Arabidopsis thaliana: one gene and its partner. The protein of the gene in region 1 interacts with the protein of each later gene in a pairwise test. Each region holds a gene or a part of one and is shown on either strand. Other genes may lie near its edges. The genes, in order: AT3G52640 and AT3G18250.

The links.
Region 2: the proteins of AT3G52640 (region 1) and AT3G18250 interact in a protein complementation assay, tested with the Arabidopsis thaliana proteins (one large-scale study listed by BioGRID).

Annotation. Positions count from the first base shown.
Region 1 is NC_003074.8:19,509,848-19,529,127, reverse strand, and holds AT3G52640 (Zn-dependent exopeptidases superfamily protein), read left to right. Parts: upstream 1-8,583; 5' UTR 8,584-8,710; intron 8,711-8,785; 5' UTR 8,786-8,837; coding exon 8,838-8,922; intron 8,923-9,012; coding exon 9,013-9,126; intron 9,127-9,210; coding exon 9,211-9,325; intron 9,326-9,886; coding exon 9,887-9,969; intron 9,970-10,117; coding exon 10,118-10,194; intron 10,195-10,595; coding exon 10,596-10,673; intron 10,674-11,291; coding exon 11,292-11,363; intron 11,364-11,465; coding exon 11,466-11,539; intron 11,540-11,637; coding exon 11,638-11,770; intron 11,771-11,877; coding exon 11,878-11,949; intron 11,950-12,035; coding exon 12,036-12,155; intron 12,156-12,373; coding exon 12,374-12,445; intron 12,446-12,551; coding exon 12,552-12,692; intron 12,693-12,882; coding exon 12,883-13,499; coding exon of another isoform or gene 13,500-13,503; exon of another isoform or gene 13,504-13,785; coding exon 13,786-14,050; 3' UTR 14,051-14,255; downstream 14,256-19,280. Other genes in the region: AT3G52680 (F-box/RNI-like/FBD-like domains-containing protein), read right to left, coding at 290-628, 718-852, 932-1,802, 2,028-2,053; AT3G52660 (RNA-binding (RRM/RBD/RNP motifs) family protein), read right to left, coding at 4,393-4,537, 4,628-4,713, 4,802-4,980, 5,066-5,273, 5,402-5,581, 5,763-5,903, 5,977-6,093, 6,171-6,530; AT3G52630 (Nucleic acid-binding, OB-fold-like protein), read right to left, coding at 14,532-14,596, 14,686-14,944; AT3G52620 (uncharacterized protein), read right to left, coding at 15,572-15,721, 15,902-16,015; AT3G52610 (GATA zinc finger protein), read right to left, coding at 16,581-17,041, 17,296-17,464, 17,818-18,615. UniProt on the Arabidopsis thaliana protein: Probable subunit of the gamma-secretase complex, an endoprotease complex that catalyzes the intramembrane cleavage of integral membrane proteins such as Notch.
Region 2 is NC_003074.8:6,253,655-6,267,684, reverse strand, and holds AT3G18250 (Putative membrane lipoprotein), read left to right. Parts: upstream 1-9,258; 5' UTR 9,259-9,277; coding exon 9,278-9,508; 3' UTR 9,509-9,625; downstream 9,626-14,030. Other genes in the region: AT3G18280 (Bifunctional inhibitor/lipid-transfer protein/seed storage 2S albumin superfamily protein), read right to left, coding at 293-655; CYP77A5P (cytochrome P450, family 77, subfamily A, polypeptide 5 pseudogene), read right to left, coding at 3,660-3,736, 3,837-3,898, 3,978-4,311, 4,478-4,694, 4,997-5,107, 5,244-5,675; AT3G18260 (Reticulon family protein), read left to right, coding at 6,181-6,295, 6,481-6,661, 6,783-6,924, 7,026-7,095, 7,188-7,357; AT3G18240 (Ribosomal protein S24/S35), read right to left, coding at 9,990-10,191, 10,268-10,682, 11,009-11,410, 11,635-11,875; AT3G18235 (uncharacterized protein), read left to right, coding at 12,384-12,532, 12,623-12,659, 12,755-12,828, 12,956-13,013; AT3G18230 (Octicosapeptide/Phox/Bem1p family protein), read right to left, coding at 13,714-14,030.

The DNA of each region.
Region 1 (19,280 bases):
AAATTAATTATTTTGGAAATTTTTTTTGCTAATGGCATTTGGTTGTAAGTAAGTCCAACTCTAAGATTTATTTGCTAAAATGGCTGCAAAAATGTATATATAGATGTCGTAAAAGCTTTATAGGATAAGAATGAGTCTAAGATCATTCAAACCCGAACACAAGGTGGCAAGAATTTGAAGCTCTGACTTATACAACATGATTGTATCATAACGATAGATAAATATCAAAAGTCAAAACCCTAAACCGATCCAAATCCCTCATACCGGTAAAATTTAGAGGCTCTAAGAGCTAAGGAGAGTCTGATCCAAGATAAGATGGATCAAATTTGAACACAAGCTGGCATGAATTTGAAGCCCTGACCACACCATCCAATCCGTTGAGCACCTTACGTCTCTCTTTCAACTTATTGAGCTCTTCCGATTCAATGGGATTTGTCGAGAAAGTTGCCTTCTTCAACCGTCTTCCGTTCTTGAGAATATATGTAGCTATTTCTTTCTCTTCTTCTCTTCCCCAATCGAATCTTCTCCACACAAATGTCTCTAACTGTGACAATAAACATTCAGGGACATCCTTTGGCTCATTCCATTTGCCGCTAACCAAACCATCTTTATGAAAATTTTGACTTCGCTGAGACCATAGAGACAAGGGGGCATTCAATGTATAGCATTACCTAGACCATAAAATATAGCTAGCTGACTAATAATGAAATGTCTTACATCAGTGAGCTTGAGCACTTGTAGTTTAGGAGAATTCTCGAGCATGAGCGTAAGTAGATTCCACCACTCTGCTTCACGTGTATACATCTCTAAAGATACCAGCTGATAGAACATACTTCCAGTAGGATATGTAATCTATCCATGAGACAAATTATTAGTGTATATATATAGAAACAATCAAACAATGTGATAACAAAGAACTCCGAAAGATTACCTTCAAGGGTGATAAATTCAATAACAGACGTGAGACTGAAGTGAAAGATCCAAGAAACTTCTCAATGGTTATAGATGTAACTTCAGCGATATTTGCCTCAACCAACTCCGGGGCATTCAGACAAAACTCAGGACATCTTAACTCTTCAATTAGTAAGTACTTCAAAAAAGGAGCATTTATCACATATCCCCAAAACTCTGGTCCATCATTGTTATCATGAATCGTTAACCTCTGCAAAGAAGGGACCTCAATAGTGAAAACCTTAATATCAGAATCGTCACCTCGATACAAACGCAATTCCTCAAGACCAGGACAGCCAGATAAAAGATTACGGACAGATGATTCGTCTTTGTATCTCACAAACTCAAGGTGCAGAGTTCTAAGAGACTTCATAAGAACTGGAGAAGGTATATCTACAAGAATACATAGTACGAGTTTCAACGTCTCAAGTGTGTTACAAGTACACAAGCTACTCGGAAATGTGAAGGTCACCCCCTTCCCGAGCTCAGCAGGATAAAAATCGAGCACCAATTCACGTAGATGTCGAGAAAAAGCAATTCCAACCCAAAGTCCAATATCTACAGGATTAAAGTTAACAAATTTGAGACGAAAGCTCTCTAGAACCGGAGCTTTGTGTGAAAGGAAAGACTTGCAAACAATCTCTGAAAATGTATAGTGTTCACTTTCGTAATCATCAGAATCGAACTCGAGATTTGGCACCAACTTCCAGAGAGACCGCCATTGTTTAGACAAAACACTTGTGGCTACGACAATGTTTGTTGGAAGAGAAGACAATATCTTTAGAAGCAAACCATCAGGCAACTCACTGATCCTGTCTTTACCCATAACAACGCGAATTCTCAAACTTTCACTAACAAAAACCAAAAGAAGACAAGATTAAGAATTAGGGTTTCGAGCTTGCATATAGAATGATTTGTTCGAAGAAAAGACAGTTTCTTTAAAATCAAAGCTTCGGGTAACAGATTCATCCTATCCTCATTCACAAAACTTCGATTTCTCAAAGAATCGAAACAAAGAAACATATGTTTTATCGGATTTCAAATGCTCTAAACATAAACGAAACAAAGAAACTTACCCCTGTTCCATTGTCGGTGAAATCATTCAGGTTCAATGCTTCTCCGGTGCTAAAATCGCATTTCAAACACTCAACAAAGTCGAAGAAAGTACTGAATCTCTCGCCAATTGAAAGACTTTAGGTTTTTTTTTTTAATTGAAAATCAAAATCTCGGTTTTGTTTAAAATCAAACCGAATCCGACCGGTTTACTTATTTATAAAATAATACCAAAATGTTAATGTTAACCAACATCGCTCGAAAGAAGCAGAAGATTGTATCATCATTCATTCATCATAGAGAATAGAGATAGAGAAGATTCAGAAATTTTTCAATATCCAATGGCCGAATGTAAAACCATTCAATAAAAGCAAGATTGTATAAGATCATTCGAATTCGAACACAAGGTTGCAAGAATTGGAAGCCCTGACCACACTATCCAACTCATTGAGCATCTTACGTCTCTCTTCCAACTTCTCAAGGTCTTTCGATTCGATGGGATTTGTGGAGATAGTTCCCTTCTTCAACCATCTTGCGTTCCTTAGAATGTATGTAGCTACTTCTTTCTCTTCTTCTCTTTCCCAATCGTATCTTATCCACACAAATGTCTCGAGGTGAGACAACAAACATTCAGGAACATACTTTGGTTCGTTCCATTTCTCGCTAACCACATTATCTTTACTTACATCCTGAGTATGCTGATGAGACCAATTCATGTGTATTACTCTTAGACCTTCACTAATTTAAACCCCTAAGAGAGACCATCAAAAGTAGATAGCTGAATAATAAAATGATATATCTTACATCAATGAGCTTGAGGACTTGTAGTTTAGGAGAGCTATCGAGCATGACCGTAAGTAGATTCCACCACTCTTCTCTACGTGTATGCATCTCCAGATATACCAGTTAATAGAAGATACTACCAGTAGGATACACAACCTGTGCATGAAACAATTATTGGTATATAAATCTTGCAAATAACAATGAGATAACCAAAAAATTCAATAGCAAGGTTAAGTTACCTTCAAAGCTAATATATCCAAAGAGAGACGTTTGGCTGACTTTAGTGAACCAAGAAACTTATCAGCGATGATAAGAGAACCTTTAGTAAAATATGCCTCCACCAGCTCCGGCGCATTCAGACAAAGCTCAAAATCTTTATTTAACCCTTCGATTCTCAAGTATTTCAAACAGGGAACATTAATCGTATATCTTCTAAACTCTTTTTTGTGAAGAACGTCACAAATCTCAAGTCTCTTCAAAGACGGGACCTCAATATCGAAATTCACAACATTATACCAATATTCATACACAACCAAATTTTCAAGAATAGGGCAACTAGATAACAAGTTACGGATAGATTCTTCATCTTTGTAGCTCACAGAATCAAGGTGCAGAGTTCTAAGAGATTTCAAAAGAACCGGACAAGGTATGTCTACATGAATCCCAAGTATGAGTTTCAAAGTCTCAAGTGTGTTACAAATACACAAGCTACTCGGAAATGTGAAGGTCTGCTTCGGGGCAACATAGAGTACCAATTCACGCAAATGTCGAGCAAACGCAATTCCTATCCAAAGTCCGATATCTACAGGATTAACTGACTTTCATCTAAAACTGAGATGCAAACTCTTTAGAACCGGAGCTTTGAGTGAAAGGAAAGACTTGCAAACAATCTCTGAAAATGTATAGTGTTCACTTTCGTAATCATCAGAATCGAACTCGAGATTTGGCACCAACTTCCATAGAGACCGCCATTGTTTAGACAAAACACTCGTTGCTATGACAAGTTCTGTTGGAAGAAAAGACAGAATCCGCAGAATCAAATCTTCAGGCAACTGATTCATCCTATCCTCCTTCGTAAAACCTTGATTTCTCATCGTTGTTATGGCGTTTGCTTTTCCGGTGTTATAATCGTATTTCAAACGCTCTAAACGCAAACACGAAAATTAGAAGAGATTGAAACTCACCAATTGTGAGACGAGACGGCGTTAGAGGATACAGAATTGAACAGCCGGCCGGTAGGGTTTTGGATAATGCGGGGCGGATACAAATTTTGCTTTAATATGATGATGACGTGAGTGATTGTGCTAATTTGAAACGATAACAAGTTTGGGCCTTTATTGGGCTTTAGTAAGCCTGGACCATACATAAAATAATCAGAAAAAGACATGAATAAACAAATTATTTTTTAAAAAACAAACAGGAAACCAATGATATACAGAACACGAGTTAAACGAACCCCATTGCTACCCGCAAATTCTTAAGAGTCACACAAAACTCAAAACAGATGGCACAAAGACAAAAACACAATGGTTAAAATTGACTTTTTGTTTTTCGTGTCTTGGTTGGGGTGTTTTTCCCAATAAAGAAAACATAATTATGAAATTACTAATAAGGATTGTAACGGCTTCGTCCTCTACCGTTGTCACTACTTCGTTTGCTGCCGCTGCTGCTGCTCGAACCGCTGCCTCCCCTATACGGTGGAGAATGCCTTGGTGGTGGTTGCGGCATAGCTGCTAGTCCAGGCTGTTGCCTATAACATTCAACACGTCAGATCAGTACATGTGTCTTATATATAGGAATCGCATGAGATCAGTATAGAGGAATATAGAAAAGAACTTACAAGACGTATCCGATTCTCCCATCGGGTAACATGATTGGCATCATCGACATTCCACCGGCTGCGTGACCTCCGGCATGCATTAATGGCTGCACAATTCCCACAAATTTAGGCTTAAATTGTTATAACGTTTTCTCAAAAGATAATGATTTGATTGATAAGTAGTAGAAATCTCACTTGTGAGTAGGCAGAAGCTCCAAATCCACCGAGAGCACCAAAGGGACTAGGAGCCATGCCATAACTAAGAAGAGGAGGATAGTTTGGTTGCAATTGTGATTTCTGCACATTCTGAACTGTATTTGTATTCGTCTTTTGATCAGCTTGAGGCTTTGCCAGAGTACAATCCAACATATGACCTATATACAAATGAGGATACAATTTGGTATTTAGACATCAAAAGATGTGAGGATACGGAAGAATATTATTCGGAATGGAACATACCATCAATCTCATATCTTTCAGTGTTTTTCAAAGCTCGCATGACACTTGTCCTCTCTGCATAATGCACAAATCCGTATCTACTGTCTTCCTTTCCTGGTTTTGCTGGTGGGATCACCACTTTCAGTATTTTCCCGTGATGTTCAAATAATGCCTTTAGACGCTCTTGTGTTATATCTCTAGGTAAGTTCTTGATGTACAATGCCTTGACCTGCAATCATTCCACACAGCATATTAGTAAGATCTTTTTCATGGTTTTGAAAGAAAAACATTTGAACACATGTCTCTTTGTTGCTGCTTCTATTATTTATTAGTAAGAAAGGTTCTAATGAAGCAAACCTGGGAAGCCGAAGAATCTCCTCCTCCTCCACTCCTTGATTCAGCCCAGCTTACAGTTGGGGCATTATCATCAAGCTTAAAACTCGGATTTGACATTTTTTGTTTCGAGTATTCAGCACATGCATGGTTGTAATACTCGATGAAAGCAAATCCACGATTCCGGCCCATATTTTGTGGTTCCTGTGATTTTAACAAAACCAAATAGAAAACCGATCAACTGAGTGAGAAAGGCATGTCTTAAATTTCTATAGAAAAAATACTTCTGTAAGTTACAAATTACACATGAACTTGAGATGAAAGTTACAGAAATAACTTAATAGACACTATAGGCTGAAACTTATCCAAGTTGCAGGAGACAAACCTTTGGGAGTTCGACAATTTGAACGCCTGGACCAATTCTATTTGCTGCTTTCTTAATGTCTGACTCCATCCAATTTCTAGGGACATTACCAAGAAAGAGACGATGCTTTGCTTGGGTAGTCGAACATTTTATCCTTTTACCCTATTGAATTACATCAAGTAAATAAACAAATAAGAGCCAGACAATTTACTAAGAATCAGGTCAAAGAACTTACTCTGAAGTCAGTGTTATTTAGAGTATCAATTGCTTCAGCAGCTAAGTCCTTACTTCTGAATGTTACAAATGCATACCCCTTTCCATCACCAGAATCCTTTTCCCTCATTATCCTAACCTGTTGATATCACACCAAACTCAGCACAAGATAAATTAAATCACAACCATAGTTTAGGTAAGAAGATGTCAAATTACCTCAGTAACTTCTCCTATAGATCCACAGAAGCCCTTTAAGTCCCCTTCAGTAGCATCAGTAGGAATCCCTCCAAGATAAACCTCTGAACCATGTGGAGGAAGTGCAAGAAGTTCAACATGCCTTTTCTTTTCTTCTTCCTCTTCCGTTGCAACAGCATCCTCCTCCTCCTCCTCTTCTTCCACTTCAACCTCCTCCTCTATCTCCTCTTCTATCTCTTCAATCTCCTCCTCTTCAACTTCTTCGTATTCAACTTCCTCCTCCAGAATCTCCTCAGGATCATTGTCACCATCAAGGTCTACCCTTTCCTCAGATTCCATGGAGTCATGAGCCTCAGAAGCAGCAGTCCTCGTCCTTGACATCTTAAATATCTAGAAAAGAATGCTTGCAGTACAACTGTGGAGGAGACACAGAAGCAAGAAGCAAGTGGGGAGAGAGAATAAAACCGAGGAAAGGTTGGAAAAGAAACAATAAGAGGCCAATAGAAAAGAAGAATAAGAAGTTCGAATTGACGCTTTGCCATAATGCGGCTAAAAAGGTGACAAACAAATAGACAAAGAGAGAAGAGGGCGATGAAATGCTCAACAGGTGAAACAAAAAAAGATAAGAAACGAAATGACCCCTGAGAGCGGATAAAAACCATGATATCATAGGCCTTGGTTAGATGCAAAGAAGGTTAAAATATTCATGGCAACAAGAAAGATAAGAAGGGCTAAAGTCAAAATAGTATCTTTGCTTAGAAAACTCCAGCTCCATGTTAGAATCTCCCACAACAGACATTGTTCAGAATTTGCAAGTGATATTTTTTATGCTGCCAATCTAACCTGTTAAGAGAATCCTCAGCTTATAACTACAATTCTATTTGATTATTTCACACAAATTGACCACAATGATAGATACAACCAAGAACAACCCAATACACATACAAAGCTATAACTCAGAGAAATGTCAATCAAAGGCGTGTTTAAGCTAACTTAGCAATCATTGGAACAAAAATGAGAGAAAGATTCAGTTTTTAATTAAGATAAGAAGAGTTACACAAATCCCAATTTTGGATCCCCAACCAAAAAAAAAGATTCACGAAAGGAAACGAAGAGAGGCGCAATGAGATGAAAGAAGAAAGAGCGAGAAAGTACCTGAGAGAGCTGCCGGAAGAAAACCCTAATTTTGAGAATTACGGAGAGGATGAAGAAGTGTCTATCTTCGCGCACCTCAGGTGTTGAAAAATATGTATATGTGTATGTTGTATTGATATGACCTAAAAGATGCCTAAGCGAGACTATCAAGGAGGTGTAGTCACTTTTTATTATGATGCGACCAATCTTATATTACGGCTTATTACCGATCTTAATATACGACAAATTTGATTTTTATGCAAAAAAAACTTTCAAGTTGGATGAGAATTTGCGCCTTATATTTTTTTTACACATTGTTTTCAAAATTAACACTAGTTTTTTCTTAATTAACATGCAGTTTATACATGATCTACGTTATTTGTTAAAATCACATATGGAATAATTTCTTTAAAATTATAGTTTTACCATATACAATATGTTTTTTTTTTTATCAATTTTTAGCCAAAACTTGCCTATATAATCTAGCAAATAATACCCTAATCAATCATAATTAGTCTACGATTTTGTAAAAATGAAGCCATAAAATGTAATACAAATTTCTTACAAAAAAAAAAAGAAAATGTGGAATGAAAATATTTTTTCTTTTTGTATAAACAACTAGATTATAACCCGCGGTACACCGCGGAGACAATTATTTTTTAAAATTAGTATATATAAAAGTCTGTAAATTATATTTATCTATAAAATATTTATATTTTATAGTTTACAATTGTTATTAAGTAACATCCTTCCAAACCCGTTCTGCCAAACCCGTCCCGTTAAAAAAATTTGTAGTACACCGCTAATTTAAAAAAAAAAATTACGGGATTGCAATTATATTTTAGTTTGTCAAACAAATTTTTGTTTTAAATAGTTGTCGAAATCTAATTCAAATTTTGGAGAAATAAGATTTAGTGAACTGATAAGAAATGTATTTATGTGCGTTTTGCTCATTTTAAGGGATTGCAATTGTATTTTGGTTTGTCAAATATTTTTTGTTTTAAATAATTTCCGAAATCTAGTTCAAATTTTGGAGAAATCTGCGTGATATATGGGATTGGAATATATTTGGAATATTTTTTGTTTGTTAATCAATTTATTGCTAAAAGAAAATAAATAAATAAAAGCCAGTGGCAGCCATTGTAAATAAGTTCCAAATCTAGGATTTATTTTACAAAATGGCTGCAAAAATATATATATAGATAGGTTCACTTAATTACTTTTAATATAATAAAATCCGCACAAAATGTGAATACCTCAATTTTTCTATATCTTGGGAATTTTGAAAGACATAAGAATCAACACGAAAAATCTCAGTCTTTGACTCAGACTCCCACCGCGTAATTCCGAGCTAGGTTTCCATTTCTCCGGCGAATCGGACCTCTCTCTCGCTCTCTCTTCCAATTTCCCCTTTTTTCGTTTCCCAGGTACTGCTTCTTCCGATTCTAACATTTTTTGATCTTTTATAAAATCGGTCACATTATTCTTGATCGTATCTGCAGCGATGATTTGCAAGTAGCTTCCGCTAATAATCGCAACTCTCTGACGGATGCTATGGCAATGGGACTTATTCGTCTTCTTTCTATAGCTTTTACACTTGTTCTACTTTCAATCCTTCCTCTTCATCTCTCTCTCGCTGGTGAGTTTCCTTTCCCCGGATAAAATTGGTGATGAAATGTATTAGTTGATAGAACATTGTAATCTGAAATTGAGGTTTCGTTTTGTGTAGATGAGATAACATCTATTGAATCTGTACCTGACCTTCAGAAGCTAATGTATGTTGCTGTTGATGGGTTTCCTTGTGTACGTCTTCTCAATCTGTCTGGAGAGATTGGATGTTCAAGTAAGCTTCTTTTGGGCCTCTCAGCTACATGATTTTTATCTGTTGATGAGGTCCTCTAAGTTTTATGTTTATAAAAATACTCAGATCCTGGAATAAATAAAGTGGTGGCTCCAATCATAAAATTAAAGGACGTTAAAGATTTGGTTCAGCCACACACTATTTTGGTTACAGCTGATGAAATGGAAGATTTCTTTACCAGGCATGTCTCCTTTTTCATTTACAAAACTTTCATGACCTCTATTCGATTTTGTTAGTGATCTCTTAATTTGTGGAGTAGTGCTTTCCCACTCGCTTGTAGTTCTCATTTTGGTGTTTTATTTAACGTCAAACAAGATTTAGCTTTTGGGTGCCAAATCAGCCTTTTTGGAAAGGCAATTACATCCTTAAGAATAACGTATATCTAAGAGTTTGTTTTCATTAGTACTTGAGTATTTAAGGCAAACACTTTTAGTAATCTTCCATGACAGTGAAACAACAGATTGGAATGAGTATACCCTCTTATCACCATTTTTGAAATCTGCTAGAAATGTAGTCACTTGGTTGTTGGTGCATGGATTAGGTGTTTAGTGGAACCAGTAATTCATTGGCTTTTTCCGCTTTATTTTCATTCGACTAACGGAAAGTAGGTATACCTCCAAACACTTTACTGTAGAACCCTGCAGTCTGGCTTACTTCTGGCATTGTTCATTAGACTTGTACATCGCTTAGACACTCTATTCAGTAGAAATAACAGGACCACTCCTCTTTGTGCCTTTTCCAGGGTGTCAACTGATTTGAGCTTTGCTAGCAAAATTGGTGGTGTTCTAGTTGAATCAGGATCTAATTTCCAACAAAAGTTAAAAGGTACTATGTCCATCCACATATTTATGATTCTGTCAACTTGAATGGCTAATTCCTTAAATTGTCTTGAGTTCTTAATTCCCTTAAAAATAGTACTTGATACTTCTTATCTATGTTGATGGCGTTAGTGTTTCTTTCTTCTTTATTGTAGGGTTTTCTCCTGATAAAAGGTTTCCTCAAGCCCAGTTTTCACCCTATGAAAACGTTGAGTACAAATGGAATTCAGCTGTACGGTAGCGTAAACTCTGTCTGGATCTTTGAAATTACTTCTTCCTGTCAACTCTTTTATAGTGGGTTGGAAATTGTTTCAATCAGTTATCACCAAATCCATAGTCAAGCATTTCCGAGTTATATGCTGTTTTCTTCTGGAACTAAACTTAACTACCTGCTAACACACAAATACCATAAATCCTTTTCTTATGGTATAATTTTACTGGAGGAATGCATGTATCTGCCTAGATGATCACTTATAAAGAAGTTCAAAAATCTGTTGCATATTTATCTACCTTAATTAAAAGATAGTTCCTCTTATTGTTATCTACGGAGAAAAAATGATTTTGATTCTTATGAGTAGTTGCAGGCGATAAGTCTCTAGCCATTGACCATTGCTAAAAAATGATTATTTGCAGGCATCAAGCATCATGTGGAGAAATTATAATTTTCCTGTGTACTTATTGTCAGAAAGTGGCATATCAGCTGTGCATGAGGTAATCCTTCAAACTTGCATTCTTTTGCAAATTTTAAATGTGTCTATTTGTGTTGTCAGAAAAGCGAAATTGATGACATTTTTAGAAATATGAGGAAATGAACTCAAGGCTTAGAGAGGCATTATGACTGTTGGTCACTCTTAAGAGCAGTATTGCTTGATGAAAATATGGCTGTAAAATGATGCATGAGATATGTATCTCCAAGGTCATATGAAATGAATACTCCTAGTTTAAACTGAATTAGTCTGCAGAAATTTTTCTAAGCATTGATTACCCATTTTAAATAAGAATACAAATTTGGTCCTGGAATGTTTGTCTCATCCAGCTGAAGGCAACTCCCAGCTGCATCTGTAGATTTCAAATGCATGTTGCTTTCCATAGCCTGTAATTGGACTCAACCATAGCCTTTCCATTTGTCTTGTGGTAGTTGCCTTTAAACTGCTGGTCAACTATGTCATTCTATAGTATGTTGTTGTCCTTACCAGATGAGGTTCTGTCAAGAAGCTAGCTTTATGTTTCTGTTGTGTTGGTAGCAATCTAAAGTGTATAGTTTATGTGGATAGCTTCACTTTTTTCAGGTTATCGACTACATATTTACATCCTATTATATTTGCGCAGATCCTTTCCAAGAAAAAGATGAAGCATGGAACATATACCAGTGATGTTGCTGAATTCAATATGGTTATGGAGGTATATGGCTTTAGCAATCTTGCTCACTGGAACGTTAACCAGCTTTATGGATCTTCACTTTGACTTAGATTATGACACCCAATTCTCTATTTTTTGTATTAGACTACCAAAGCTGGAACACACAATTCGGAGGCTTGTTTGCAGGAGGGAACTTGCCTCCCATTGGGCGGATATAGGTAAAGATTTAGGTCTTTATTACTGTCTGATCTAATGACATATGAAAACCTTTTAAAGGATACGTTTCGTTTTCTAACAACTTTGTTATGAAGGACAGTGTTTGGTCCTCGCTTCCACCAATCAGTGTTTCGTCTTCCAACAATCGCAAACCAGTTGTGCTGACTGTGGCCTCCATGGATACTGCATCATTTTTCCGTGACAAAAGTTTTGGTGCAGATTCACCAATATCTGTGAGAACTTGCTATTTTCTGCTTTTGGGTTGATCTAGAATACATTTATTTACTCTTCTTATTCTTCTTTTCCCGATTTATTGCTCAACACGTTCTCCTTCTTTCAGGGTCTGGTAGCTCTTCTAGGAGCAGTTGATGCTCTTTCTCGAGTTGATGGTATTAGTAATCTCAAAAAACAGGTGCCAGTGTACCATGTGATTTAGTGTTATTTCACGCTTTTTGTTGTTTGCAAGCTTTAATACATGTAAATCGTAAATGAATGCAGCTTGTGTTTTTGGTTCTGACCGGAGAGACATGGGGTTACCTTGGCAGCAGGAGGTTCTTACACGAATTAGATCTGCATTCAGATGCTGTCGCAGGCCTTAGCAATACTTCGATTGAAACGGTAATCATTATTGTTTTGGTCTGACAAAGTTGATAGAGACAGCTAGCCTTATGCATGAAATCCCTGTGGAAAAAGTTGCCTGTGTTTCATCGTTGCTGCAACTTATTTGTTTCTTAGTAGCGCAGAAAGCAAGTTTAAGTGTTCCTTGTGAAATTGAATGTTCACAATTTTCTAAATCTAAAGATCGAATTCAGATTGCTTCTTCTATTATCTAACAGGTGCTTGAAATAGGATCTGTTGGAAAAGGTTTAAGTGGAGGGATAAACACCTTCTTTGCTCATAAAACAAGGGTGAGAAATTCCTGATATCCTGAAACTCTTGCATAATTCGAATTCGTTCGATAATGTGAAAACTGTCATAGGCGACTTAACCTCCACTTTTGGTGTTCTGCTTTAGGTTTCTTCAGTTACAAACATGACACTGGATGCTTTAAAGATAGCTCAGGATTCACTTGCATCAAAAAACATCAAAATTCTTTCAGCAGATACTGCAAACCCTGGAATACCCCCATCCTCCTTGATGGCTTTCATGAGAAAGGTACAATATATATTCCAAGTAAATAGATGGGAAGACAATTCAAATGTGTATTCGCACTATACTCTTTGCATATACTTCACCTTCAGTTGATCATGAATATGACAGGAGAAGTATACTTGCTTACTATTATGTGATTCTGAACCAGATTGCCTAGAGTGAAAAAGGTATAACATCATATTCATTGTTGCAGAACCCTCAGACTTCAGCTGTTGTACTTGAAGACTTTGATACCAACTTTGTGAATAAGTTCTACCATAGTCACCTCGATGACTTGTGTAAGAAGAGTCACAGCCTGTCTTTCTCTTCTTTTCGCTCCAAACCCCATTTTGCACTTTTGATTCCTTTCTGGTGTTGTATTGCAGCAAATATCAACTCCTCGTCTGTAGTAGCTGCTGCTTCTGTTGTGGCCCGAACACTTTACATCCTAGCAAGTGACAACAAAGATACAAGCAATTCAGCTCTGGGATCCATCCATGTCAATGCTTCTTTCGTTGAAGAGCTTCTAACCTGTCTTTTAGCTTGTGAACCGGGCTTATCTTGCAACTTGGTAAAAGACTATATTTCACCGACAAACACTTGTCCAGGCAACTATGCTGGCGTCATCCTCGGAGAACCTTCCTCCAAACCTTACCTTGGTTACGTCGGTGATGTTTCTAGATTCCTATGGAACTTTCTGGCAGATAAAACATCTGTCCAAAAGGGAAATACAACCTCAGTTTGTTCAAAAGGAGTCTGTAGCAAAACTGACGAAGTGTGCATCAAAGCAGAGAGCAACAAGGAAGGAACATGTGTTGTCTCCACAACCAGGTAAACTCTGTGCTTGGAAATTGCAATTTGGTTTGCATGCTCAAGTTCTCTCTTATGTCTCAAAATGAACCAAAATCTTAAGTCTGGTAGGCATTTTATAGGAATTATTAATTAGGATAGGCTTCAGAAGTGGAGTGTTTTTAGACTTGGGAGAAAGTCTATCTTTAGTTTGTTGACCTTTGAATTGAAGCTATCATCATTTTCTTCTTCCCCTGACCTGATATGTTGTATGTGACCTAACCAATTTGCTGTCTGAGCATAACACATTAAGTTCTGGTTTTGGCAGGTATGTTCCAGCTTATTCAACTCGATTGAAGTATAACGATGGAGCTTGGACAATTCTACCACAGAACTCATCAGATTCTATGGGGATGGTTGATCCAGTGTGGACCGAAAGCAACTGGGACACTTTAAGGGTGCATGTGTACACAGTCCAGCACTCAGCATACGACAATGCAGTCCTCGTTGCAGGTATTACAGTCACAACGTTGGCTTACATCGGAATTTTGGCTGCTAAGTCAATCATCACAAAAGCCTTGAAGCAGGACTGAGACTTGTATTTAATTCCCTCTCCTCTCGGCTCAAAATTACTTGTCAGTTTCCGTAAGACATTGCCTAACCAGCAACACCACCAATACCTTAGTGGTAGAAACCTTTTTTCTCAACCAAGGTTATTAAAATATGTCTTTGAGCTAATTCATGTTAAATTCTTTATTACACTGGCAAGAAATTTATAAGAAAAAAGTTTGCTTTCACAAAATCCTATAGATAAAGCAACAATACAATTCTAAATCCAGAGCAAAATCTTAGCTGCCAAGAAGAAAATAGTGTTTTGTTTTGTGTTTTGGTACCTCAATTAACAAAACAGCAATTTAAGCTTAGTTGTGATAGATTAAGAAGTTGTTACATATACTAAGTAAATAAAATCATAGAACCAGAAAGTGGTGAGACATCAAATACATATAAAGCATAAGCATCTCTACAAAATGTTTTAATGGAATCGCTTCCATGATCATAATCATCATCACAACATTAGATGAACAAGTGCTTGAACTCCCCATTTGCTAGCTTACATAGCTCGTTGTAGTTCTGTGTATCTGCAACCAAAAATAACAACCAAAACATCAAAACACAACTCAATAGCAAATCTGATAAACTCGACACAGTAATGGAATCACTAAATTACCAAAAGTGTTGCCAAAATTGGTCCAAGTTTCAGCTCGAATAGCGTTATCACTCTCTGCAATTCCAATAACCTCAAGGTAAGTAGTAAGAGGAGAAGGAGGAGACGATCCTCTAACAACGATCTGAAGATCATCAGTAGATTTGCCAACCACAGATCCAATCTCTGAACCAGTCACTTGAATCACAGTTCTGACTTTTTGGCCAATGAATCTCCTCAACAAAGCTCCGTTCACAAAAGCTGAAGGACTTGAAGTATCCATTGCTATCTACTGTTCAAAGATTCAAAAGCGAATTGGTAAATCAGTTTCGTATTCAATAGCAAAGATAAAGGGATTAAAAATTTTGAAAACCAGGAAATCGATTTTGAGAAATTCAATCGAAGGGAAGAGAATTGATTAAGAAGATTTACCTTGTTGGAGAAGATGAATCGTTCGTCGGAGTTGCAAATGATTAGCCCTAACTTCTGAGGACTTTCTAGGCTTTGAGAGAGTTTATGGAGAGAATTTGGGCGGGAAATGAAAAGCTTCACATGGCGCCAACAAATATGAAGAGAAACAATGGGACCAATCGTTTGATTATGGGCCTGTATGTATTGTACCCATTGGGCCTTTTAGGTGTTCCTTGGATCGTTGAGTTTTTTTCACAAAACCAGAATTCGTTTATTTTTGATGTTGGTACAATTAACACATTCATTAAACGCATTATTCAAACCATAGTTTGAAAAAAACAAAAAATGGTATTCAATTGCATTATTTAATTTTAAAAATTACATATAAAAAAATATAGAGATTTTAATAATTATTATATAATGTCAATAGTTATTTTTTTCTTAATTTCTTATGTAAGAAAAGTTACAAAGGAAAATTGAGAAATTAACTTGTATAAGATCATTTATTCTCTTTCAATTTCTTGGTTATAGCAAAAGCGGCTCCTGCGACGGCCACAATCACTGCTGATACTATGATCGTGTTTTTAAGCGTTCGTGCCCCATCTCTCTTTGCCTTTGCGTTTTCCCTCTTTTCTACGATTTTTTGTACCTTCACATTTCAAACCCAAAAGTAAATATATAAATCTTGTACATGGAAAAGTGATAAAAGCTTTTAATATTTGGTGGTTTATTTGAAACTCATGCAAAATCAACACATCCATTCAATAATGAGATATCATAAATCTTGTCATATATAAAATCTAATTAAATTCTATAAGCAACTAATTACCTTTTCAGAAGCAATCTCTGATGAAACAGGATCTACTTCGAAATTCTTGTTTTGGCCAGGATTAAGTTCAGCTTCTGCATCGCCTTCAGGAAAAGTTGTTGTATCCGTTGCCATTTTTGACACTATGATTTTTGTTTTCTTACAAAAAGATGATTTGAACACAAATTAAAATGAAGATAGCTTGAAACTGAGGCAAGTAAGTTTGGATTTTGTGGCTAAGTCTTGTGCTCTAAAAATAGTTTGGAGTTTGCTGATTCCATAAGCTTTCTTTAGCTCAATTCTTAAATTATTGTCCGCAAATATTGCTGATTCCACTGAAATGAAATATTTCAATTTTCACTTTCTATATTTTTTTCCTCAATTTTTATCAGTTTCACTTCCACCTTATGTTTCCAATCTAAAATCCTATTTTTGACAATAAATGCTCACTTTTTTTTCAAACATTTTGGATGGTTGAATTAAATTTATTATAAAATAGAATTGTGTATGACAATATTCATCTAACATATTTCTTTGATTTGAATTGTTTTCTTAAAGAATATTATATTATTCTATTCATGATAGATGTTTGCAATAATCTATGAGGAGAATTTGAAGTTAATTTATTTCGACTAATTTTTTTACAGAGACCATCTATGCCTCTGGACAAAAGAGAGAGTTTTGATTGTCAAAACACAAATCAAAAGGAAGAAGCAGATCCTTCCAAAAGAATAGTTTTCATATGTTGAATCAGCCCATCCATCTGCTCTCTTGAATGCAATGGCGAAGGATACACAAACGCACAGTCCAATTTTCCATCCCTAAGCGCATCGAAAACCGCAACCGACGGTCCAACCCCGTGGATAGACGCGCATCCAATGTAATCTTGCACCCCAAGAGAAGCCAATTCAGGCTCTGGAGACTCGTCGATAACAGGATCTTCAAATATGGAGATGAAAGCGGTTCTCAGAGAAGAGGAAGGCGTGAGATTAGGATTCTCTATGGCCTTGCACATTAAGAAATTGAGATCTGACATATCAGTGAACTGCTTGTTCGAGTTCTTGGAGGATGTGAACGAGTCGTAGCATCTTTTGGCTAGGTCCCAGAGCTTTTCTTCTCCGGTTAAATCGTGTGTATGAAGGATCCCTGCATGGTAGAAACCTGGAAACAAAATAAGAAATATATCAAGTTCAAATCATAAGATCAATACTACAACATCCAAATCAAATTGCATTTGTCCATTGTTAGTTTAACGAGTTTGAAAATGTCTAGTAAGAACTACAAAAATGCAGTCTTGAACCGTATCATCACTAGCTCATAAAAAATTTGTTGCAATCATGAGAAGATAATCTATGAACATCTATTCCTCATATATATCATCAAAGGCTATAGTAATCCCAAATTTTCGAGCTTACCAAAGTCATTTGAAGTAAGAGGAGGTTCAAGAATGGAACGACAATCCGAAAGAGTCACCACGGCGTATTTCTCTCCTTGGTATGGCGGTAGATTCTTCGAGGAATACGCAGCGATTAACGCCGAGGACGCTAATGCCGCCCATAACTTTAACCCTCTTGCCTTGCATCCCTACAAATAGTGATTGAATTGCTCCAACTTTTCAGAAACAATCTAAAGCTTTTTTAGCACAAACCATCATCCTCTTAGTCCTTTTTGAGTTACAAACTAAATGTAGAGCCCTTCAATGTATGCATATGTAATTGCAACAATGAGTATTTGTAGACTATGGATTACTCAAAATTATGTACATAACAATAAAATAAAAGTAACTATTATTTTATTTTTTATGTAATCCTCGTGAGATATTTATTTTATATTCATACACGCAAAAATGGTAACAAATACTAATACTCTATGGTTAACACGTAATAATAGTAATTAGCACATAATTAATTAATCGAATGGTGTGGAGAGTAACTTACAGCCACAAGTTTGAGAGTCTGATCTCTATCCAATTTGAGCCTCACCAATTGCGATCTCCGGTTCGAATTCTCTGCGTCCACGAAATTCAAATTCGAAAACCGAAACGCGTTTAACGAGTAACCAAGCACGTCGATGCCACGCGCCCAGAACGGTTTATCCCCTTTCCCACTCGGAATCAGCTCCTCTATCGCCTTACCTAATCCCACCGCCGTCTCCGTCGCCGCCACCACGGGACCGTTTCCGAAACCATCAGCCGCCGTCTCTTTCATAAACTCTCTCAGAAGCGTAACCGCCGCAGTACGATCGACCGCCGCCGTGTTCAGCCGAAATGTGAGTATCCGTTGCTCTCCGTCGTCGGTTAGATCGTAGAGACTGACGATAAACACGCGTGACTCGGATTTGATCCAACGGTGTGGATTGATCCACGTGTTTTTGTTCATCTCGTGTTCTAGGATGATTCTGTGTGGATCAGCGCATGGATCGTCGCTGTCTCGGATGATCTGAGCCGTAGATACGGAATCGAAGGGATGGATTTCGACGTGAGAATCGGCGGCGGACGTAACGACGAAGGAGAAGGAGTTAGCGGATGCGTCGAAACGGATGTTGGAACGGAGAGTGGGGTGGTAAATCTGGAGTTTGTCGAGGGTATTTTGGAGATTTTGGAGTTTTGGTGTTCGGGAAAGTAAGAGAGCTATGACGGCGATACCTGTGCCGCCGTCAATCGCTCTGCACCAGCTGTACTCGGTTCCTCCGACGGGTCGGGTCATGGATTTGGGTACCCGATTTGGCTCACTCATTATCCTTGAGAAAGAAGAGAGATTGTTTTCACTTTTTTGGGATTTTAAGATTTTACTTGTATCATATATTGTCAGGTGGGTAAATATGGGGAAGATACAGTGACGTACCTTTTACTCGGTTAAGTGTAATTTTTCCGGTTTATCAACCAAATAGAAATGATTTTGCATTTACGAATTTAGCGTCTTTAATTTTACGTTGCTCACGTTTAGGCAATACTATATAAACCTCTCCCTATATTTTAAGGTCAAATAATTGGATTTTTTTTTGGTTTTTTGGAAAAGGTTTAAGTGGAACTATTTGTTTTACTCATGCATACTCACTCAGCTTGCAACATATATGGAATGTAGATTAATAAAGATAAAACACACGAGATGCTCTTTAAGAAACAACAGTTTGAACGATATGATTCTATAGATAGCCTTGAAGAGTACTGTCAAGTAATATCTCTTATTCATATAGATGGTTTGGATTTTACACTATAGATAGCTCTTTAGCAGCGACTCTATTGTCAAAGAATCGGATTCAGGCGGCAGAATTTTGGTTGACAAGAGATAGATTAGCATCAGTCAATCTTCCTTAGAAGAATCCATCACCATCCTGGCGACGTGGGTTATATAGTATGTAGAGTACCTAATGGAAAACTACAATATATAATTAAGGACGT
Region 2 (14,030 bases), about 13 Mb from region 1:
TACAGTGATTTTCATGTATCCATTGATTCTTTTGTGTTTTTGAAATATAATTTTCATATATTATATCATCTCAGTTATTACACCATCATGTATATATATATATATCAACAACAACCAGAATAAGATAGCAAAAATTTAAATAAGATGCATACAAAGCATCACCAAGAGTACCACTTACTTATTTAACTCTACTACTTATAGTGGTCATAAATAAACATCCTTAAACACACACCAAAAGTAGGATTCAAACATATATAGGATGATCATAAACAGCAAACACTTTTCTGACTTTTTAACACCTTGGGATGGGGAGTTTGCAACTTTTAGAGACTTTACGAGCGTTGGGAGTGCTGACGAAGCGACGGAGGCTAGGGTTTCTCATGTAACCACATAAGCATGGCCTCTGCTCCTTCAGCTTTGCACAGCACAAAGCCGATGGTGGAGAAGACGACGTTATCGCCGTTGCACATGGGCTTAGCTGCATTGGCGAGCACGTCACGGCTTCTGCCGCCGGGGCTAGAATCATTAGGAGAACCGCCGCTAGAGCAAAAAGGGAAACCATTGTGGTCTTGATCATCACCATGTTTCTTCTTGATCTTTTGTTTGTTTCTGAGTTTATAGAAATGTGTTTTTGGTGTGTTGTGGTTTTTGACATCTCCTCCTATTTATAGAGTGGGAAAGTGAAATGCTTTTTCTTAATTTTTTCTACTATATTAGTATTTTCTAAGAAGAAAATTATTAAGAAATACTATATGGATTATAAAAAAAATTATAAACCAGTATTAATCTATTGGTGCACTTGCTTATAGTGCGGCCTCTTATTTGTTTCGTTTTTCGATTTTTGTTTTCATTTTAGTTTAGTATTGGAAGAACATATATAATTATAATCTACAAGTTTGGTGGATGACCTTTGGTGTAGTTGTTAATAAAGAGCTCGATGCTTTTTTATCATGCATTCGTATAGTATCATGCCATCCAAATTTAAATCAATTTGAATATTGCTTATAACTAAAATAATTGCATTGGAATATTAACAATGTGGATGCATATTAAGAACTCTCGTGACTTTGACTTGATGAATATCATATGGGTAACATTGGGGAAAGTATTCAAAAAAAAAAAATGCGATACTAATATCTTAATTATATATTCATTTATTTTCAGTGTTTTCTTCTTTTAATTGTCAACGTTTTTAGTCTTTGTTCCCTCTTTTTTTTCTTGTTTTGAGTGGAAAGAAGCACTACAAATTATAAATCAACACTCAATATATATAACTTCATATATTTTAACTCCTCTATTTGTCGACCAAAAAAGTAACTACTTGATAAGAGTGAACATTTATACTGACAAAACACAGCAAATAGCCAAATACGATTATATTCATCCATGAAAAGAACTTTTTTTTATATATGGATTCACAAAAATAAGAGGAATTTAACAAACGAAAAACAAAGTGGGGTCGAAGTAGGAAAACTTAGGAGGCGAAAGAGGCGCCGAGGACTTTCGGTGATGGTACTTGTGTCGTGCCAATATTTGTTGCCGTCTCCTTTATCGTCATTATTACTTCAATGAATCTCACACACACAAAACAACAACAAATCAATTAATATTTTTTTACAAAATGATGATCTTGAGATGAAGCGTGCGTTTTGGGATACGTGTGAATAATCATTTCCACAATCACTCATTGAACATTCTTCTTTTGACACAATTGTAGTAAATTAATGAACATATCCAATTTTCTCTTTAGTGTAGCATTTGAACTGAAACTACAAGGAGAACATGGAATGTTTGGTGCGTATTTCACAACAAATATGTTCACACTTCACACACATTGGTTGGTTGTTGTTTTTGTAGCTCATGCAAACATGTGTTCTCGACTTTGAGGGTTGATATACTTTTACTCTTATCAAAAACTAGAAAATGGAGATGACATCCTTGTAACAACGAAACTATATAACTTTATCACAGAGAAATTAACAAGGCTTACAAAATAGTATTAGTAGTTTTGTTCAAAAAAAAACTAAAACAAAATAGTATTAGTAAATGATTGAATGAAATAAGAGAAAGTGGGTCCAGAACATTATCTATCGTGAAATAAACTTTAAGATTCTCACGCCTAGTATGTCACAATTTCGATTGTTATTATTGCTCTTCTTATATGTAATAAAATATATTGTGTAAATATTTAATTAAAAAGCTCCTTCTAATGTGCATTATACATGTCATATAATTTGTATATAAATAAAGTGTAACGTACATAACTTTATCTTAAACAAAAACACTAATAATTATCTTACGGCATGTTTTTGAATTTTCATATTAGAGATTTTTTTATATAAAAAATTGTTGATTGTGCTGGTTGTTTTTAGAAAACGATTCTCAAAATTAGCTTTTACCAATACAATTTGAATAAACATTTGTATTTGTCTGTTTATATTGACATTTTACTTTTTCTTTTTTTTTTTTGGTAAAACTTTTTTAAAGGGTGGTTTCATCCATTCCGGACTAGCCACCAATGTCAACTTTGGTTTGACATTTTAAGCTTTTTGAATACGCATTTAAGCCATATTCTTGACAAGTTGGCAAGTTGACATTTTACTTGCCAAGTATTAAGCTCATTTTTTGCATTTGCTTGCCAAGTTATAAAGTCTTGGTTACTTGGATTCGAAATATCATCTTTCCTCGTAATAGGAGGAGGCATATGTCATTGATGGGTTGGCCATGAACAACATTGGTACATCTAAAAAAAAAACAAAAAAAAAACATTGGTAAATCTATTTCGTAAATTTTTCAAAAAAAGACCATGTTTTGTCTTTGGATTTAGTGGTGTTTCTTCGGGTTTAAGTTTGTTTGTCTCTATTCTTAGTATATGATTTCGATATCTTTGGATTTTGGCTTTAAGAGTTCTGCTTTATAATTCTAGTGTTTATATTTTTCTTGCATATAGCTTAGTTTCCGAAAAATTTAAAGTTTTTTTTCGACTTAGTTTATAGGTATTTTTTTTTTTAGGGCTTAAATTCTTTTGGTTGGGCTTTGTATTCTATTTTGGATTCTTTTCAAAACTCAGATGACCATAAAAATTGACATTTTATTTTCTGTAATTAGCCAAATAATATTTTCTGTAATTAAAAATAAATAAATAGCTAGTCCAGTGTTTAATTGGACCTTTACCAGAAATCTCTGTACATCTGTTGAGATTTTCACGCCTCACCAGTCACCACTACACCTACCAGTTTTGCTCTTATTTCTTCCACAAGAAAAGCAATTTCATTTTCACTTTCTCTCTATCAATACTCACAAATAATGACTAAAATAAAAGTCTGGAATTAGTTGACAAAACAGACTCTGCAAATGAAATCCCCAATAATCAAAGATCGAAACAAGAATCACATATTGTGATCTATTATAAGCTCTGTGACTTAGACCTGTGTTGTGTGTTTCAGACAGATATCAAGCAGATCACTGTAATGAATTCATACACTTATTACTCCCTGGGGCTGAAGTTACAAAGATTCTAGATTACATACACTCTCAACTAACACATACTGAGAATTTAGGACCAAGATTAGCCTTTACAAAACCCAAAACCAACATTAAACTTACGATTAAAATCCTATTGAACAAAAGAAAAGGGACCTAAGTAGACAAAAGGAATTTCACTGAGCAACATCATTCCACTGAAGATATCCTCCGTGACCGCCTTCATCTTTAAACTCATAGACAGCACCACATGCTGTCAACAAAACCACAAGCATTAGACTTGTTCATTTTGAATTTCAATCATCTTTTTAACAAGGAAAAATGCAAGATGAAGAAAACAGAGACTATTTTACCTTTGTAGCCACCTTGAACTGGATCATCAGCCAGAAGAAGCGGAGTGTCCAAGTCGATGAATCTGTGTATTCCTTCTTAACTTGTTAGAATTATGATGTTCACATTAGAAAGAAATGTGGTGTTTACAAATTTGAGTATACCTGAAGCATCCAAGGCCAGCAGCAAGGTGACCAGAGAACCCCATTGCTAATCTAGTCTCCACCATTCCCCCTATCATAAGCTCAATGCCAGATGATCTAGCCAATTCAATTACCTCAAGAGACTCGAGGATTCCGGTTTTGGCGAGTTTGATGTTCACAACATCTACGATATTACCTTCTATGATTTTTTTGAGATCAGTCAAGCCTCTGCAACTCTCATCTGCTGCAATAGAGACTCCGAATCTGTTCTTTGCAGTTCGAGTCACGTGACTGAGACCCTCCCAATTGTCTCTGTGGACAGGTTGTTCAAAGAGAACCGGTGTAACCTTCATTTCTGTGCAAAACAATCACAACAATTCAGGTTTTAACCGAGAAAAGAAACGCCAGCTACTAAAGTTTGAACAGGCTAGAAGTTTTCCAAACACCTATCCTTTTTTAAAACCTCTAGCGCTCAATACCTAACTGAGAAAATTCCAAAAATGATTCAGAAACCTGTTTACCATGCAGCGTCTCGAGAACTTTAACAGCTTCCTCTGTTTGATAACCCTCATTGGCATCCAAAATGAAGGAACAAGTAGGGTGGACTGCACGTATAGCCTGGAGAACTTCTATGTCAGCCTTAAGATTCTTTCCCACCTTGAGCTTCAAGGTTTCAAAACCTCGTTTTCTATACTTTGAGGCCAATACGGAAGCTTCAGCCGGAGAAACTATCGGAATCTGAGAACCACAAATCACACAAACCTTCATACTTGAGTAATTTATTAGTGTTCCCGGTGTTTTCAAGCCATTAACATTCTACAAACAATTCAAAACTTCATACGCTCCAAATTTCAAGCCATTAACATTCCATACTTTCATACTTGAGAAACTATGAATGCAGTGTTAACACACATAATCTAAGTTATAGTCATAGTTGAATCACTTTAGGAGCCAATGACTATAAACTTTAGGAATTTGTTTGCAAACACACAAAAATTGAAAGGAAATTGTAGCAGGAAGAGCTAAAGTTAGAACCGAACTGTTATGTCTGTAGTAATCGTACTTGAAGCTCCACCAAATAGTTTCCACAATGGCACTCTTACACTCTTAGCAGCTGCATCAATCATAGCCATCTCCATCCCAGCTCTTACCTAAAACCCACTTCAGAAATTTTCTTATTTTCTTCCTTGAGAGAAAGATCAAAGCCAATGTAGACCCAAAATTTGAACTTTAACTTGACCTCAAAATCACAACTTTAGCATCAACTATACAAGATGTCAGACTTACAGAAGCAAACTGATGACCAGGAAGAAATCTTCCGATCTCCTGAAGAACATTACCGAGTTTCATCTCCGGTAACTCTCTCAGAAACTCACTAGCTTCCCGCGCTTTTACCATAGCCATTATCTGATCCTCCGCCGTTACCGACGGCAAAATCGGAGCTTCTCCCCAACCCACAAATCCATCGTTGAGCTCAATCCGAATCGCAACATTACTGACAGAATCAAGCCGTGAAGAAGCGATAGTGAAAGGTGAGAGCAGAGCCACGTTCAGTTCGCGATTCTCTGCTTTAAGCACTCTCACGGTGAAATTCTCCGTCAGGGTTTTGAATTTAGACGTCTTCGACATAACGGTGATCGGAGATTTCGGCGAATTTTGGAAATTGAGAGTTGAATTGACGAGTTGTGAAGAAGAAGATGATGATAAAATCGAAAACATTTTTTGATCTCAGCGGATTCTTCATCACCACCGCGAACACCAATTTGTCGTTCCAAGCCTCGGGCAAATCCCACGGCCAATTCCGAACGGAATCATCTTAACTCCAGCAACTCCGGTTAAATCGGCGTCTTGTTATAAACCGGTTCGGTTCAAATTGCTACGGTTTAGACCAGATCTTCGGGTCTTCACTTATACCGGGAAGATAACACTCAGTTAAAATATATGCAACGTACGTGAGGGGTTTGAATAGTTTATTGAGACATGAAGATGAAGAAATAAATGGGAGAAGGAACAAGGTCAAAACCATTCCCATTCTTTGCTTCTTGAATATGTTTTTGTTACCTTTGTTCCCAAGCCTAGAACCTATCTCTTCTTCTTTCTTCTTATATTTGTTGCTTTTCACATTTTCTCCTAATCCAAATCAACTATTTTACATAGTGATTACATTCATTTCATTGTTGTTTCTTACCGCAGTAACTTTTATCTTAATAAATTTGATCCAACCATGCCAATATTTACGGGATCGTCCTCCGATTCTGAAGACGAAAGAACGATCCATAAAACAACTAAGCTCTTCACTCGTCAACGATCTATTCACTCTATATTTGGAGGTGGTAAAGGTATTTGTCTCACTCTCTTTCAAACTTTATATCGGTTCAATCGGTATGCGTGTGTGAAAGTACATGTTTATATCCATCAATTCTCTTCAAATATCACATTTTATTTTGCTATTATCCAAAATTATCACCAAAATTATAATGTAGACAAACACTAAATTTTAACAACTTGCATTCGTGATTAACAGTTGCGGATATTCTGTTATGGAGAGAGCCGAAAATAGCAGCAACATTGGTGATAGGAGTGAGCATCTTATGGTTCTTAATGGAAGTAGTGGAATACAATTTCATAACCCTAATTTGTCATGCTTCCATGACCTCCATGCTTTTTTTCTTCATTTGGTCTACTGCTTCTGATTTTCTCAATTGGTATGTTTATATCTTTACTTGATTAATCTTTTTTCAATTTCTCATGATCAATTGGTTAAAAATATACAAATTACAAGATTTCCTTACCAATAAAACGACAATTAAATAAACAAAATTGCAGGGAAAGACCACTAATACCAGAAGTTGTACTAGACGAATCTTCTTTCAAACAATTAGCAAGAAGCTTCCATGTTAGATTCAACCAAATCCTCACAAAGCTTCTTGACGTTGCTTGTGGAAGAGATCCTCCTCTCTTTTTTCTCGTAAGATATTATATAGAATAATAATTTTCCACTTATATATATATATATATATAACTTTGGATTCATTATTATTTTGCTTAAATTGGTTACTATATTTCCAGACAACGATCTCGCTTTATATCGTATCCATCATCGGGACATATTTCAACTTTGTGAATCTTCTCTTCATAGGTAAGAAGAATTAAGTCATGATACTCAACTATATATGTAGATTTAATTCCCTTTTATTAATTAACGGAATTAATGGACGTCGTGTCGTTCAGGGTTTGTAAGCATGCAAACCTTACCGGTTATGTATGAGATGTACGAGGACGACGTGGATACAGCGGCGGGTAAGTTGATGAGGAAGATGAAGAAGCTGTACAAGAAAGTCGATACGAATGTTCTTAGTAAAATCCCAAGAGGAACTGTCAAAAACAAGAAATTTACTTAATTCTGATCATTCTTTACTTATAGAGATAATGTGTTTGCTACTGTATTTATGCGACCTCATCAACCCAAATTAATATACATATCTGTTAAAAGAAGAAGAAGAAGTTAAGATCTGATAATCATCATCAAATGGAATAATGATGTGAAATTGTGAAAATCAAGCCTCTAGGGAAATAATTAACAAGAACTTGTTTATGGTAACTTTCTCCAATTAATGATATTGGTCTAGTTTTAACCTTGATGAGTATAATAATAAACTATAAATCGACCAAATCACTTGAAAAGCGGGTATCATCAGCACATCGCTGCAAATCTGTTGCACATTATATCACCATCACATTCCTAAAACCTGTTATAACGTTAAGATTTGCCAAAACCGAGCTATTTTTTTTTCAATAATAATTTTCTTCTATAAAAATAAAATAAATAAACACTAAATCGAAAGCGAAAGTGGTCGGATAAATATCAAGATACGTACGTTTGTTTACATGTATGGGAAAAAATACAAAACAAAATACCAAATTTTCGTTTTTTGTCCAAACCAAACTTTGTCTAAAATAGATACCAATTGTTCTACAAAATTGTCAAAGAGATATTTTGTTATTTTGAAAATGACAATGTTAATAATAAGTGGAGTTAGACTTTTCACTTTTGTTTTAACCTACAATTTCTCTCTCGCTTAACATCGACTATTCTAACACATTTTTCAATCTTCCTTTTTATTAAGGAACTTTAATTTTTCCAAAAATCTGAAACATACTATACCCAAAAATCGATGCTCACACCTAGCTAGTTCAAACTGCGTACGTCAAAATATGTGGTATGGACGTAAAGTATTTTATAAGTTTTGTTAGAAAGTTAGATACTTATAAAATAAAAAAATTGATATTTTTTTGGTAAAAAATGGAAGTTTGGTATTTTTTGGCAGTTGTATACATAAATAAAAATATATATTACGGAGTTATATATTCTTGTTTGGTCAAATGTTTCGGAAGCTTTTAGATTACGAAATTACATAATCCATGATGAATTAAATTTGGTTAGTGGTAGAAGAATAAGACGCCAAAAGAAAAAAGGGAAGAACATTGGGTTACGTCGAAAGTCCTTTGATAAGAATTTGATTTTGCATAGTCAAATTTGGACCAACAACAAAAATGGAGTCCACGTGAAATAGAAGAGAGAGACTTAATAGCTTCTCATGCATAAAGTTATGAACAATCAATGATAACCAATGATAAATAACTAAACAGTACAAAATCTCTGTATTTTTATTGGATTTAACAAAGGCCATGAACAATCACTTCAATATTTATAATTTTTTTAAAAAGACGAGGCAATTCAAGCTGATTTATACATTATGATTAATGATAATTATATTATGGCATTTGACTTTTCTCACGCTAATGTAAATGGTCAAAAATCCTTATCTTCAACTAAACTTCCTCGACAAAACCTTAACTAGAACTATGTATGTAATTTATCAAATATTGAACTTTAAATTTCTTTAAAAGCATAATATAATCTTGACCTATAAAATTAGCCTAGCCTTTCGAATTACAAGTTTTATATTTTTAAAGAAACATAATCTTCAACTAGAAATTATTATAAACCGGGTCCTATCTTCATCTAATATACGTGATTCCATCAAAATTCCGCAGTCAAATGTGTTTAGTTGAGAGGAGGAGAATAGTAGACTAAAATGGATGACTTTCTGGTAAGTCTTGTATTGCAGTCTTTTCTATATTTTAACAAATAAGTCTTCTTTTCTTAAAAAGAAAAATTTAATTACAAAGAAATCTTACTACTGAACGAATAATTTATCAAAAGTCAGTGGCCTTACGTACGAATTTATCGGCTATAAGTAGGAAAGCTTTTCACGTTAAACAACTTAATCTCATCCACATTAACTAGAGAAAGAGAGATGGCGAGACACTTATTAGAAGATGTAATGAGCATGGCCACCACAACAACACATTTCGATGCTAGTTACCTGTTTCATGTTGTGTTCCTGGCTGTGATCGGTTGTTGTATCCTCTCCGCTCTGTTATTCTCTTGTGCCGACGGAGTCTCCGACAACAGAGCCACTTCAGGCACCTCTACCGGTGGCGGAGGTTGTGGCGGTGCCGGTTGCGGTGGTGGTTGTGGAGGTTGAGATTTCATTTTTCTTCGTCAGGAAAATATAAACAGAACAGTCCGACCATTTTACTTTCGTTTATAGATGTATAGCTATCGTATATTGAAGCAATAATTTATTTAGTTTCCATTTCTTATCTTACTGATTGAATTTCTTTAAAAATTAGAAAGACATCTGATACAAAACCCAAACAAAAATTGTACCAATTCTTTCCTTTGGTTACTTTCATTCTGAACCCGTAAACATATCTGAAACCTTAACTTTAGGAGAGATTCATAATTCTGAGAAAACGTTAACTAGTCTCTAATAGACACCAACAGCACAGCCAAGGTTCATGTCTTCATGAGATACAACAAGCAAACCAAACTAAGATAGGAGTTACCATCAAAGATTCTTCATGGATCTGAAAAGCCATAACGGATCAAATGATTGCCAAAAGAAGACGATCCTACAGATTATTTGGTGAGACAAGAAAGGCGCTAACCGGGAAAAGTTTTGTTCAAGCGTTGATGGCATCTGATTCTTTAGACCTTATGATCTTGGCTTGTAGTTTCTGCATAAAAGCTGGATTGGCACGGAGTCTTTGTTTTACATATGAAGTTCTTATGTCTTCAGCGATCTTGTTGGCTTTCCCAGCTTCTTCTATCAACCCGTAAAGAGTTCTTAAGCAGTCTTTCCTGTTTTCCTCTCGGTGTTCAAACCTGTGACAGGACAAAAACATTTCATGATTCAACATTCTTGTCTCACGAAAAGCTTAAGATTTATAGTTATATATACCTCTCGCTGGTGATTGTAAGCTCGTCTTTCCCCGAATGGTATCTTTTCCCTACAAGTTCCCTTAGCCTTTTAGCCTGATGCTTTGAGAGCCCAAGCTCTTTCACTGTAACAGACATTTTAACTTTCCTGTTCTTTGGATGCCACGCATCACCTCCAGGAGCAAAAACTATCCTTGATTGCCACCTGAGGATTGGGCCTTTACCAGGGGGATCATCCAAGTCAGTATTCCTATCGGAAGCATCTGTTTCACCAAATTGGGGAGGACCCTCAGCTTCCATCTGATCCCCATACTGAATTACCATCTCATCTTCAAATTCCTTAAAAAGCTCATAAGCTGCTTCAGCCTCAATTTCACCTCTTTCACACATATCTCCAAGCTCATTAAACTTTGCTTCAACCTTTTTCTTCAAGTCATCTGAATGAACATACACAGTTAGAGAAATGTTCATATGTACGCATCACAGGAACAAACCAATATATTCTCTAAACGGCCCTACTGATCCGAGAAGTAACATATCTGGCATAGTACATTACCTTCTACGAGTTAAAAAAACGAATGGTTCTCAACTTCTCATACCATGATTCAGAAAAATCCAAATAGAAAGGTTAACTACAAAAGCTAAGTTCCACGAAGAGATTGTGTTTAGCTATAACGACGCACATTAGTCTATTAATCAACCTAATCTATGTCTAAGGATGTGAGTCGATGAACGGGAAGATTGAAAATAAACGAGCCATTACCAGGAAGAAGCTGGTCCCATTTGAGCATATCCTCAAGAATCTCCTCGCATTCTTTAGTATCAGTAAGACACCCATGTTGGATACCTTCTCTAATCATGTGATCCCACTTCTTATCATCCATGTTGAAAAACTCATTCTTCCTCATCTTTTCAGCTACATACTCGGGAGAATTGTACAAATCCTCAAGTTCTTCGTCAGTAGAATGTGCTTCCTCGAAATCGGATTCAAAATCTTCATCCTTGACATCATCTTTGAAAGGTAGAGACTCGATTTTTTCCAACAATTCATCATCAGTCTCTGCGTGTTTGTCTACAAGTCTTCTCTGTAGAAGTGCTTCAATAACTCCGGGTAAAGCATCTTCATTACCCTCATTGAAATACTTCTCTATACGGCTTTTAAGCTCTGAGACCACAAAATCCAATAAATGAAGTCAATTTCAAACGATTACCTACAGCTATTCTACTAGTTCATGAGATAAGAAGCTACGAATCTTGTATCGAAGGATCAATTGAAAACTATGAGGTATTGAGAAATGGTGAGATGAGAATTAAACTCACACATTTCAACTAATACAAAGGCCATTTCAAGTGTGAGGTAACCAAACAAGAGGATAGAGTGTGTTTTACCTTTGTTGCTTACATCTTCTACAACGAGATCTTTCTTCTCGGGTGAATCAGTCGGCGAAGACTCAGGGGCCGTAGTCGAGTTCTCACCGGATTCGGAGGAGAAAAATCTGAACTTGGGAGCAGCAGGAGCGGCGATTGGAGCGAGAAAGGGAACATTGGGGGAGATCTGATGGGTTATACGAGGAGAAAGAATGATTCTGCGAGCGCAGAGAGATGCATTTCTCAAGAGAGCTCCTCTCATGGCGGATCAGAGATTTAGGGTTTTAGGTTGTGACAGGAAAAAAGCTCTTCTTCATACCTGAATCTGCTACAGAACCTGAATCAATAATTTGGTTAAATGTCTTAATCTCCGGTTTAGTTTCATCTGTCCGGTTTAGTTAGCAATACATATACTTAAGGTTGTTATTTTTTCATGGTGGAGCTATGTTTGTGGATGTTGTCTTAGAAGGTTAGCTGAAGATAAAAGAGTTAAAGGGCTGTGTAATTCACTAGTTTATCAGATTCATGGAAGTTCAATATGCTTATAAGAAAACAAGTCAAGAACAGTTTATTATCAACGGGTTTTCAGCTCAAAGATGGTACAAGGTGGATACAGGCTTGGTTTGGAGCTGATTGTTGGTAAGGTCATTTAGAAGTAGACTGCAGATTTTTCAGAAATAAATTGCAGGTTTCTAGATAGGAGTTGCTGGCTGCAAATTTCAGAAAAGACACTAACGTGTAAATAGAGATGAAGTTATTGAAGTGGTTCAATGAATTCTCTAAAGAAGGAACTGAAAAGAGACATGTGTAAGTGTTGCAGGAGTTGTCTCAAGGTATTTCACTTCAAGACTATGAAAGTGTTGTGTATCAAGCCTGATAAACAACTCATCTCAAAGCTGGTGTTAGCAGCTGAAAAGAAGTCCTAGAAAGGAATGCAAATGCAGAGGATTCAAATTGCATTTAGAAGACAACAACTCATGAGCATAAATTTGTCTTGGTTGATGACGAGACAACGTAAGTGTCTACTCATGGGAAGTTATCTGCAGGTCAGTCAAGTGAAGGATTTTGTTTTTAAGAAAATGAAGGGCATTGACTAAAGACTGCAAATTGAATGGTGTAATAGCCAAATTCGTTTTGGTAGTTGCATACAAGAAGAAGTATTGCAGGTTTTTCTTTACAGCTTGAAAGATACATCAAGGATTCTAGAGTTGATATGTAAGCTGTTTTAAGGGCGTGTCTTAGGGATATCACAAGGTTTGCTGATAAGTGACATGGTAAAGGTTACTACTAGTAGTGGGTTTCAAGTTGCTGGTGTGTTCTGTTTAACAAGATGGTTGAACAGGGGTACTGTTTTGAAACTCGGTTTGTTCAATCAGGTTATTGACGTGAATCTACAATAGTATAAGCTGTTGGTGAGATTGACTACAAGTTGAATCAAAGAGCCTCAGGTTAGAGGCTAAGATGATTCTGTTTTATGCATATGATTCGAGTGAATTCAAAGGATTTTGATCTCGATGCGCATGAGGAAATCCTAGAAGCTAGCTAAGGAATCAAGTTTTGCAGAGGATGAATTGGTTACTTCAATCACTGCTACATGTTTATGGTCTTAACAGAGGCCATGGTGGAGATATGTGATTGAACGTTTTATAAGTAATGAAGCTAATGGAGATTTATGTTGTGTTTAAAAAGCTGGAATTGTTCTCTTGACTTGTTAATGGAGTTTTTTTCTTTTCTGAGCGGCAATATCAAGTTTTCAAGTGTTGAATGCATCACTTAAAGTGACAAAGCATGAAGCAACCTCAACAGATCACTTCACAGTTCTATATCTAGTATACACTGGTGTTCCATTTCTTGAGTTTTTGTGTAATCTTCGGATCAAGATAATTCCAATATAGAACTTAAAAAAATATCCAAAACATATTTATTTATCAGAAAAGAGAGAGAGACATAAGCAAACTACGATAAGAACAACGAGATAGCAAATCCTATGTATATCTAACGAGATGTAACAGGACGTTACATGTAATACGCAAAAAGAACAGAGCGCGCCGTGTCGGCTATACTTAACACTTTGCGCATTTATTACCAAAGATCCAGCGTTTAAAGCGGCTGAGACGCAGCCATATGCTGTTGCTGTTTGCCGCCGTCAAGAGCCATTTGCTTGGACATATCGGCTAGAGCTGCTGCGGCTGCTGCTGGTGTCATGCTTTGGTATGGAGACGCTAATGGAATGGCAGTGTTTGCAGCAGGAGCTTGTGTGTGGTAATACACTGTCTCGTTTGGAGAGTTTGTGTATTCAAAGGGTCCACCGTAGTTGGCGTTTGCGTTTGTGCTATGTTGAGGAGCTCCAGTACCGTAATTGGCGTTTGCGTTTGTGCTATGTTGAGGAGCTCCAGCGTAACCCATGTACTGATGCT